Linked DNA regions of Caenorhabditis elegans. The protein of the gene in region 2 purifies or fractionates together with the protein of the main gene of each other region. This does not show direct contact. Each region holds a gene or a part of one and is shown on either strand. Other genes may lie near its edges. The genes, in order: nsph-3.1, M142.5 and hxk-2.

Region 1 (3,754 bases), on a different chromosome or scaffold from region 2:
AAGTTTCAATGAAATAAAATACCAACGAGAATTTTTTTAATAAACTTGTTCTTCGTCTGGAACTTTCGGCTGTATTGTTGTTGTATATTTTCTTTTAAAAAATCCCATTTTATTTTTCAAATGTAGAAAATATTATTTTTCAATAGAAATATCACAACAGCACAGTAGACATTTTCGGACAAAGAATTTCAGCTCTGTGTAGCTCCTTAGCAGAAAATTCTGAAGCCAAATTCTTGTAGCCACTTATCTCAGCTGCCCATTAGTTTGTTTCGTATTGATAACCCCCGCACTTTTAACTTTATTCTCTTGTTTTCTGGAGCAGGAAAAAATACAAACACGAACAAGAAAATATCTTTTTATCAATAAACACATATTCAATACAGTTCGGAATGGACAGAATTAACCATCCAACTTGCATCCTGGTTTAGCCTTACGGCACAAGACAGTAGTATTGTCAGCACAAGATTTTGCAGAAGCAGTATGCTCTTTTCCTTGATAACCATATCCGTACTTTTCATTACGAACATCGACCTTTGCCAAAATTTGCTTTCCTCCAGAAACATTGACAACTCCCACTGAGATGTCACCCTTGTGGTTGTTCACATGAACTGGATGCCATTCTTTGTCTCCGAATTTGGCAGCTTCTGGGAACGAAATCCATCCATAATCGAAACCACGAAGGTTATCAGGCAGATGAACGAGAAGTTGGATAGATCCAACATTCTTGGTGTATTCGTTATTGAACCACGAGAAGTTGGCAGCCACCTGAAATTTAACATATTGAACGCGAATTCTTTAATAATAGCAAGACTAACCTTTCCACCCTCATTCCATACACGACCCATGACAGGTTCTCCCTGCATGTACCAAAGTGCAACGTATTGATCTGGATTGACACCTGGCAAAGTATCAAGAGTCTTATCAAGAGCCTTGACAAGTTGACGAGTTGGCCATGCATCACCCTCACGAATGTCCATCCATTCATCTCTCTCGACACGAACCTTTGGTCCACTTCCACAGTTGGCACAATCACAAGATGGTGGCCCACCAATGCAGTTACGGGTGATGATGTACATGTCATTGAGTTGTGGTCCAACTTGTTTCAGCACTTTTCCATTGAACGAGAACCAAGCCTCCTCAGTCTTGTTGTCGACATAACCAAGAAGATTTCCTTCGGCACGCTTCCAGAAGATTGGGAATGAATCACCACAACGCACAAGTTGATGTTTATCGTCAATCTTCTCAATACGATCCTTGTACTTAATCCATTCGTACCAGAAACCTGAAATTCATAAAGTTAAAACTATAAGGTTTTCACCATTAAGCTTACCTTGATTGTTATGGTCTCCTACGTATTGAAGAACCTGGATCTGTCCTTCCAGTTGTTGCTTGGTTGTCAATTCAGCTTGCTTATATGGGAATGAACATTCAACAACTCCTCCATTGTTCCATGAGCGACCGTGGATTGGTTTACCGTGCTTGTACCAAAGAGCAACATACATATTCTGTTCTCCCATACATTTCACAGGACTCGGTGGGAATGGGGCTCCAATTGGTTGAAACGCCCAGGTGTCTTCCTTCGGTGGCGGGTTCGGCATTGCGTTTTCAGAGGAACTTGTCTCTTGTTGGACGATCGGTTGAAAAAATCGATTGTAGATTGAATTATGAGCAAATTTTCGAGCTTTTATACCAAAATTTTATTTTTTTTTGCCACGTATTTCCAACTGGACAAAGTTCGCATGGAGTCACGTGCTTATTCATTTTTATACTCACTTTCTAAAAAAAATTTTGAGATCAGAAACCTTTCTGAATAATAAATAAACTATAAACATTTCAACCGATAAAATAACATTTGAAGAAGGCTGAGGGTTTTTTTCTGAAATTTCCAAACATTTATATTTCCTAGTTGTGAATTTTTGCCATTTTTATTATTTAAAGCAGCACATGATGAGCCCGTCACGAAATTACTGTATAGGCATGAGGAAGGTATGCACGCCTGAAGATGTGCATGGCACGCCTGATGACGTGCATTCATTATCTGAAAGTCGGGAAAAATCGGAATTGATATTTTAGCAACACAAAAACACTTGTTTAACTTTTCTTTTTGGATTGATAATTTTATATTTTAAGTTTAAACTGTTGAAAATTTACTGGCACTTTGAAAAAGAAATCAGTTTTAAAAAGGATGATTTATGTTTGCTTAATATTAAGTTTTTAGAATTTTTAGAACCTATTTGATATTTGATATTTGAGCTTATAAAATTTTTTGGGATTTTTAAAAAGTTTGCAAAAAAACTTGAAAGAATTTTCGCTTGAAAGCACGACAAACTTGGACAAACAAGTGGGGCTCGATGCTTGATTCTTGAATATCCAATCTTGTGCTTGATTTGCACTCCTGGTTTCGAGAAGCTTGTTGGTGCCTCATTAGTAGAATTTCAAAATTATTATGTTTTTTTCTAATTTTGAAAAAGTTAAAATTCTATACTTTTCTGCGTGAATCGTCAAAACTACATTTTCTTATCTTTGCCCTAGATCTAAAATATTTGATTATAAAAGAGCGAAAACTTCATAAAAGTTTTATTATATTCGACTCTTACTCGTCTCGAGTTGGAAAACTTCTGGTAAGTCATCAACTGATCCTGGTATCTTCTTCAACAAGAGGCTTTCAGCACTTCGTGCCACTCACAAATCCAATACCAGCCACCTTTTGGTGAAAATCGTTAAAGAAGAAAAAGAAAAATGGCCGACGGAAGCCAATCTGCAATGGACCAAAGTGCTGTCACTGGAGCACCAACAATGGCTTCTGAAGTCCAACCAGCGGACGCATCTGTCGCTCCAACTGTTACTCCAGGAGGTGCCTCACAACTCGGAGGACAGGAAGATGCATCGATTGGTTTTGTTACCAAGACATATGCCAACTACGTTCAGGATATTCAGCAAGCTGCTGAAGGTTAGTTTTGATATACTGTTAAGGATTGGCACCAGAGTTGCGCAACAAATTTATCGGCACTCGTTGTTGTGTCGAAGTTTTGTTTCGGAAATGTATACAGAAAACAACTTTAGTTTCAATTGGGAGATTTGAAAAATTACTCAAAGTGGCAATGAGCGACGACGATTGATATTTGAATCAGTTTTTGATCAATTTTTCGGAACTTTCGGAATTGGAAGTAAAGCTACTTTCACAAAGTACAAATATTCCTTTATAATTTTCCGGAAAAAAAACTTTGATTTAACGATGGGAACAAGCGGATTATGTGAAAGTGCCAAAAAATGTGCCTCAATTCTCTAGTGAGCATTGCAAATGATTATTTTCGTAACGTGCACACAGTGCCTGTTCCTCAATCGCGATGAGTCCATTGTGCTCTCTGTGACCTTAACTGTATATATAAATAACTGCTTTCAGGACTACGTCAACGTGCGGCTGCTCTCCAACAAGAAGGTTCAGGACAACTCCAGCAACTCCAATCACAAATCCAGCCTCAAACACAAGAGCTCATCTCGGCTCTCCAAGAGACACAATCTCCAATTGGTCTTCCAACGTCCTCAGTCGTCGAAATTTTCGGATGGTCTTCAATTCTGCTTCTTGGAGCTGGAATTGCAAGCATTATTGGAGGATATGTACTTTCTCCAATTTTCGGAATTTTCATTGGGAGAGGTGGATCGGCCATTTTGGCAACTCTTGCCATTCCTGCGTTCGGTGCTTATCAACTGAACAATGAGGATGGATCGACATCGGGAACACGATTCCAACTTT
Region 2 (3,754 bases):
AGGAAAATTCTGCTGAAATGCAGAACATTTCCGTATTTTAGTGAAAATCAGCGATTTTTAGGATATTTTGATTGCAAAAATGTTAAAAATAGCTTAAAAATCACTTTTTTAAATTGAAATTTCAAACAAATCGGCTTTAAAATTAATTTTTTTTGTTGAAAAAATTTATAATAATTTTTTTATTGAAAAAGCTCTCTAAACCAGATTCTCTAAACCAGTTTTTCTTTAAAAAAATCAATTTTTATTTTTAAAAATAAATTTAAATTTAGCAAATAACCGGTATTTCTTTATTTAATTTTTTTTTTGGAATTCCTGTAATATTTGGGCAATTTTTCGTGTTTTTTCGAATGCAAAAATGTGAAAAATAGCTCAAAAATTCGTAAATTCAGATTTTTTTGAAATAAAAATTCACAGAAATCGAAAATTAGCTTAAAAATCGATTTTTAATGCTTTCAAACTGCCATTTCAGAATTTTTAACGAGCAATTTTAGAAAATAATGATTTAAAAAAGATATAAAATGGTAATTTAACCCATTCTTTCACAGAAAAAACAGAAAAAACTACGAAAAAAATTAAATATATATTATATTTTAGGGCGGAATTTAATAAATAATTGAGGACGGGGGGCAATTTCAAATTTAAAAAAACTAAAAAAAAAAAAGGAGAAAAATGCTGAGAAAAGGTTCAAATGCAATGAAGAATTGGTTGATTTGGAAGAGAAAATATATATATATATATTGAAAGGGACAGAGATACCTGAAAAACGAGACCCGCGGCTGATGAATTTTTATTCGAAAAATCGATTTTTAGGGGGAAATAGCAAGAAAATCGATTTTTTTTTTGAATTAAAAACGGAGAAAATACAACATTTTCGACCTAATTTGTTGAAAAACGACGTTTTCTTGATTTTTTTCTTGTTTTGAAAATTTTTTAAGTCGATTAAATCGATTAAAATTACATTTTCTCGAAGACGATTGGAAATTATCGGGAATCACAGAAAAAATGAAGAAAAATATCGAATTTTTCAGAATTAAATAGATTTTCACGAAGTTTTTTTTTAATCAGATTTTTTTTTTGAATTTTAATTATTAAAAATCGTTGAAATTTTCAATAGAAGAATTCGAGATTTTTTTTTAAATCGGCTTCAAATTCAGTTAATTCAAGTTTGAAGATTAAATTTTAAAAAAATCCTGAATAAAATCGATTCAAAACGGAATTTTGTCGATTTTCACAGAATTAATTAATTTTCGAGTTTAAATTCTCGAAATGTTACTTTTTATGGGTTTAAATAGAGATTTTCTTGATTTTCCCCACTCTTTTCTTTAAACCCATCAGCCTTAGGACAAAAAATATACAAAAATGGGAAAAAATCGATAACTAGTTGGCCACAATAGCTCCAATAGTGAAATCAAGCGGAGCACGTGCCGTATACTCGGTCATTGGTTTTGAGAGAATTTTCTGAACTTGAAGTACGGCACTTTCGGCACGCGATTCATCGAATCCTGTCGCTTTTGCATCTTTTGTCACGTCGGACACCTCGTAGGGCTTGTGAACCAACACGAGCCCGAGCACACGGATATCCTCGCCACACCAACATGTATCCGGAATTGTGCGCTTCAATTGCAGATAGGCTTGTTGTCCACGAATCGATATTGCTGGTGATTTCATTAGATTCGGTGTGAGCTCGCCGAGAGTTTTGTCGAGCCGTTCGGTGGTCCGTGTACCGTTTACCGGATTGTTCTGGGCGAATTGCTCGGTTTTGGCGCGCGCGAATTTCTCGCTTTCCTCGAGAGCTTCACTTAACACTTTTATCTGAAATTAATATTAATTATTAATATCAAAGTACCGATTTTTGCCAGAAAAAACTCACATTTTTCAAGTGCTCCGAGTTGAAAATGCGAATCATTGGCTTGTTAATCGCCATTTCCTTGGTGTCGAGAACCAAAACCTGAAACTTTGGCTTTTGGTTAATAAATAATTCAATAAATCGATAATTCTCTTACCTTGCGAGTCGTGTCGAACGAAATTACCACTCCCCGGGCGCTCAAGCCATTCGTCGTCTCGATTTCGACGCAGGCGCCGATCGCAACGTTTGACGCTGTCAGATTACACGAAGCCATGCTGCAAAGACAACTATATTGTTTTAAAATAATTATTTTCAAAATTTTGAAACAAAAAATGCATTAAAAACAAGAAACTGCACAAAAACGGGTCGATAAATGCTGCGGCGCCGATGGAAAAAGACGAAAAAGGGAGGTGTCAGCATGTGCGCTCCGTTGCGAACCCACACTGAACATTTGTTTGTCGTGATTTTTGAGGGGAATTACACGATACGAAGCGATGCTGGCCGCGCGGCAAAAGTTCAAGAAATCAATGATTATTGTTTAAAAAATGAAATTCTCGTGGAAAAATGAGTTAAAATTCAAGAACCGCGTGCAAAAAGTGACCTGAAACCGAAATGGAAAATGAATTTTCAGCGAAAATCTGGAAATCTGCATCAATATTCGAAAAAAAAATATTTTCCATCGAAAAAGTGTGAAATGCAAATGCAATAACCTCGGATCCGAGCTCGGAGTCAATCAATTATGCTTGTTTCACTCTGAAAATGTTTTCCCCATTAGTTTTCGTGAAAAAAACCCTTTTTCATGAAATGTCATGCTCTTAAATTTTATGTTCATTTAATTTTACTCAAATACTTATTACGGGAACACAAAATTCTGAGAATGCGTATTATTGCGCAACATTTGACGCGCAAAATATCTCGCAGCAAAAACTACAGTAATTATTTAAAGACTACTGTAGTTTCGATTTAAGGTCTCCATTTTCGAAATGAATTAATAGAATTTATTTATATGTAGATGAAATAATAAAATCAATCAAAAAAAAAGAGAAAACAATTCTAAAGTCACTATTCAAAAATCGAGCCCGTAATTCGACACAAGCTCTACAGTAGTCATTTAAAGAAATTACTGTAGTTTTCGCTACGAGATATTTTGTGCAATACGCATTCTCAGAATTTCGTGTTCCTGTAATAAGACTGGTTTTTTTTCGTTTTTTTTTCGCATTAAAAAACAGGTTTGATTCAAGAGGAGATTTTTTGTCGAAGAAGTTCAAATTTCTTGGTTTCCCGCCCTGCCACGTGGCAAAACCCCCTCAACATGTAGCATATGTGTTTTATAAATTTCATAAACCCTCTGCCCCCGCACAACACATAATTCATTGCTGCTGCCCGGCGAACTTTTATGCAAATCACAGTACTTGAGAGTTAAGACGCCTGTTGTTTCCCGCGTAGTCATCTATCATCATCTGCTGCTCCTACTGCTGCTCTAAATGGTGTCCAAGGACACAGACACACAGACACTAATCATGAAATGAGGAGGAGATCGGTGGAGCATATCGAAGTAGTATACATACACTTTATGAGCCATCATCAATTTTGTCTTGTACCTCAAATTGGAGAAGAAGGAGAGAGTCTCAGTCATAAATTGAGAAATAAGGAGTGTTTTATAACTAAAAGCAATTAGAGTTTAGCTTACTTATAGTTCGTTTTTTTAAGAGAAGAGCATTTAATTAATTACAGTATACTATAGTCGCAAAGAAAATTCATTGTTTTTGTAGGGCTTCCATGTAAGCGTTAACACGCCTGCCTGCCTGCCTGTGAATTTGGAAAATTTGGCAGCTTTTTTTTTCGAAATGCCAGAATATTGTGTTGACTGTAATTTTTTAAATGTATTTCTAAGTTTTTCTCCAATTT
Region 3 (3,754 bases), on a different chromosome or scaffold from region 2:
TCAGGGGTTTCAGGCTGAAAATGTCAATTTCTCGGATTTTTTAGGGTAAAAAACCAAAATTTTCCAGGTTTTCATGCTGAAAATCCCCAATTTTCAAGTTTTTCATAGCTTTTTTTCTGCTTTTTTCACGAAAATTCCCAATTTTCATGGTTTTCTTCAAATTTCAGTGGCAATTTCTTCAACTTTTATCGCTTTTTTTCCAGTTTTTCAGCGCGTTTTCAGGCTAAAAATCCCGATTTCCTCGTACTTTTTGTCCGGTTCCATGCATTGCGGCATTTGGCATTCTTGTATTAAATTGTTTAGTTCTCATCGGCTCACCGGGCTCCAGTTCCATCAACATTACACGTAGATTTGTGCCTCCGAGGTCCATTGCAACGAATTTTCCACGTTCTGCAAAAGAAAATCATTGATTTTTACTGAAAATTCGGCGGAAAGTGGCTGATTTTGGTGTAGGTGGCTTAGAAAATGGTGAACTGGGATTTCTAGGCCACCTAAAGTTAGGCCATAGTATGACAGTTGTTGTTTTGCCGCAAGAATGGAGTTCTTGGTAAAAATCTGGTGGAAAATGAGTAGGTGGCCTAGAAAAAGCTAGTTTTGGATTTCTAGGCTACCTAAAGTTAGGCCATGGTGTGAATTCATTGAAATTTACGATTTTTTCAGTAGAACATGAAATTTTCGTGAAAATTTGGCGCAAAATTGCTGCTTTTGGTGATGGTGGCCTAGAAAATGGAGGCCTGGGATTTCTAGGCCACCAAAAATTAGGCCATAGGCTGAAAATATGAAAATCAACGTTTTTTCAGCAGAACATGGAATTTTCTTGAAAATTCGGGGGAAATGAATGAGTTTTGTGTAGGTGGCCTAGAAAATGATGGGTTTGGATTTCTAGGCCACCAAAAGCTAGGCCATGGATTGAAAAATCGAATTTTTAGCCAATTTTTCGGATTTTTTGAATTTTCAGTCAAATTTTCTACGTTTTCAAGAGAAAAATCAGTGATTTTTATGAAAATTCTTGCTTTGGTGGCCTAGAAAATGGTATATTTGGATTTCTAGGCCACCAACTGGAAAGTTAGGCCACGACCGTAAAAACCCATTCTTAGGCCATTTTTTCTCGATTTTTCGATTAAAAACCTTTTCCATTCGGCAATTCTGGCACAAAAGATGGTAACATTGCAATTGTGGACCGTTCCAAGCCGGATTCCAGTCCTCGATCCATATTATCTGATAAATGGGACATCATTCGTCGGAGAGTCGTATTTGACAGCTTAAACTCGGCCATCACGGATTCCAGCTGCAAAAATATCGATTTTTAGGTGGTAAATTGGTTGGTGGCCGTGAAATTTGGGTTTCTAGGCCACCGAATGGAAAAGTTAGGCCACGGACTGATTTTTGATCAAATTTTGATATTTTTAACGGGTTTTAGAGTTAAAAAGCAGCAAATACTCAAATTGTATTTTACGGTGGCCTAGAAAACCCAAAACCGGATTTCTAGGCCACCAATTCGGAAAGTTAGGCCATCGATTCGAATTTCGGTGATTTTCGAAGATTTTCACTTTTTTGGACATTGAAAATGAAGTTAATATCAGATTTTTCTGAAAAGGTGGCCTAGCCGGATTTCGAGACCACCAATTCGAAAAGTTAGGCCATGGACTGATTTTTAGTGAAATTTTGCATTTTTCGACTATTTTTTACGACAATTTCAGCGAAATATGCCAATTTATTGTGTATTATAAGGATTTTCATGCTTAAAAAGCCATTTTCAACAGTTTTTCTCCCGAAATTTTCCGCCAAATCTCCCACCGAAATCGATTCTTCATTCAGTTTCGACGCCATTTTTGCCAGCGGAGTCGTCGGCGTCCGCGGGCTCTTTTTTCCCTTTCCATGGGCTTGTGAACGCCATATCCTGAAGAAAAATGCGGTTTTATCGATTTTATCGATTTTTCCCGGGCGGAAAAAATTGAAAAATGTGAAAAATACCGATATTGAATGCCGAGCTCGATGATACCCAGCATTTTGTGTAGATTTTTGGGCTGAAAATGTTAATTTTGACATTAAAAAATAGTGGGAAAACAGATTTTTTATTTGTTTTTAAGAAAAATAAAATAATAAAAACCACGGGTTTCAGGGGCACACACAAATTGTCAATATTTTTGAGTGAAGATTTGACGAGAAGACGAGGAAAAACATGACGAAGAGACGCAGGCGAAACCCTTCGAAATTGATGATAGAAATGCTTTTTTTTTTGCAAAATAAAATAAAATACGGAAAATGTCAAGTGTGTGCGGCGGTTTGCAAATATCGCGCGCCCGCATTGCAATTGAGCCACTCCGCCCCTTTTCTCTATTTCTCAATGTTTTTTTTTGCAATTTTCCTCTATTTTTTCGGTTTTTTCGCAATTTTTTCGCAATTTTTAATGTTTTTTTCCACAAAAATTAACAATTTTCAGAGCAAATGAGTGCTCAAAACTATCACGCCGGCCTCCACCAGTCGAGTACACAGAGGTTCGTTGGATTTTAAGCGAGAAAACCCCCGGTTTTTCGTTGATTTTCACTAGAAATTCGTGATTTTAACGTGAAAAACACCCCAGATAACTAAAAAATCCACGATTTTGATTTGCAAAACAAAAAAATCAAAAAAAAATTCGCAGAAAATTGATTTTTCGGCAGTTTTTGAGTGAATTTTCACACCGAAATTTATTAAATTAGCGATTTTAACAGCATTTTCCACTGAAATATCACCAAAAATCCAAATTTAAACCTAAATTTTCACTAAAAACCGAGTTTTCCACCTTTCTGAGCAGATATTTATCGATTTTAAGCAATTTTAGAGAGTTTTCCGCTGAAATTTTCGAAATTTTCCCCGAAAAATCGATATTTTCATATGAAAAACTATTAAAAAACTATAGTGAAAATCGCTGTTTTTTCCAACTTTCAGTTTTTTAGGCTGTTTTTTTCACTAAAAAGTCGATTTTCACCCGAAAAAACCGGGGTTTTCAACTATTTTTACTCATTTTAAAGCAATTTTAGGGTGATTTTCACTGAAATTTCTCATTTTTCCCAATAAAAATCGATATTCTCGTTGAAAAACTACGGAAAATCCCTGTTTTTCCAACTTTTTCAGTAGGTTTAGGGTGTTTTTTCACTAAAAAATCCAAATTTTTTCGATTTTCCCCTAAGAAACCCGGTTTTTCACCTATTTTTGGGTAATTTTCACTGAAATTTCCAATTTTTCCCCTCGAAAAATCGATATTTTTACGTAAAAGACACCTTTTGAACACTAATTTCCACTGGAAATCCCTGTTTTTTTCACCAAAAACCCAAATTTAAACCTAAATTTTCACTAAAAACCGGGTTTTCCATCTTTCTGAGCAGATATTTATCGATTTTAAGCAATTTTAGAGGGTTTTTCGCTGAAAATTACCTCAAAATCACTCCGAAAAATCGATATTTTCATGTGAAAACTACTGAAAATCGCTGTTTTTTCCAACATGTTCATTTTTTTGTACTAAAAAGTTTTCGTCCGAAAAAAACCGATTTTTCACCTATTTTTACTCATTTTAAAGCAATTTTAGAGTGATTTTTCCCCGAAAAATCAATATTTTTACGTAAAAAACACCTTTTTAACACTAATTTCCACTGGATTTTTTTCGGCAAAAATAATGAAAATTCACTCAAAATTCGTGATTTTAACGTGAAAAACACCCCAAAAAACCGAAAAATCCACGATTTTGATGACAAATCCCCTAAAAAGTACTCAT

The links.
Region 1: the proteins of M142.5 (region 2) and nsph-3.1 fractionate together in Caenorhabditis elegans (co-fractionation; one large-scale study listed by BioGRID). This does not show direct contact.
Region 3: the proteins of M142.5 (region 2) and hxk-2 fractionate together in Caenorhabditis elegans (co-fractionation; one large-scale study listed by BioGRID). This does not show direct contact.

Annotation. Positions count from the first base shown.
Region 1 is NC_003282.8:10,947,722-10,951,475, reverse strand, and holds nsph-3.1 (Nematode Specific Peptide family), read right to left. Parts: upstream 1,667-3,754; 5' UTR 1,599-1,666; coding exon 1,331-1,598; intron 1,283-1,330; coding exon 816-1,282; intron 766-815; coding exon 400-765; 3' UTR 343-399; downstream 1-342. Other genes in the region: Y69E1A.1 (MFS domain-containing protein), read left to right, coding at 2,740-2,950, 3,404-3,754.
Region 2 is NC_003281.10:10,929,575-10,933,328, reverse strand, and holds M142.5 (AD domain-containing protein), read right to left. Parts: upstream 2,129-3,754; 5' UTR 2,121-2,128; coding exon 2,004-2,120; intron 1,955-2,003; coding exon 1,871-1,954; intron 1,813-1,870; coding exon 1,378-1,812; 3' UTR 568-1,377; downstream 1-567.
Region 3 is NC_003279.8:11,321,084-11,324,837, forward strand, and holds the start of hxk-2 (Phosphotransferase), read right to left. Parts: upstream 2,028-3,754; 5' UTR 2,010-2,027; coding exon 1,975-2,009; intron 1,901-1,974; coding exon 1,798-1,900; intron 1,289-1,797; coding exon 1,129-1,288; intron 391-1,128; coding exon 248-390; intron 1-247. Other genes in the region: cdk-9 (putative cyclin-dependent kinase 9), read left to right, coding at 2,449-2,498.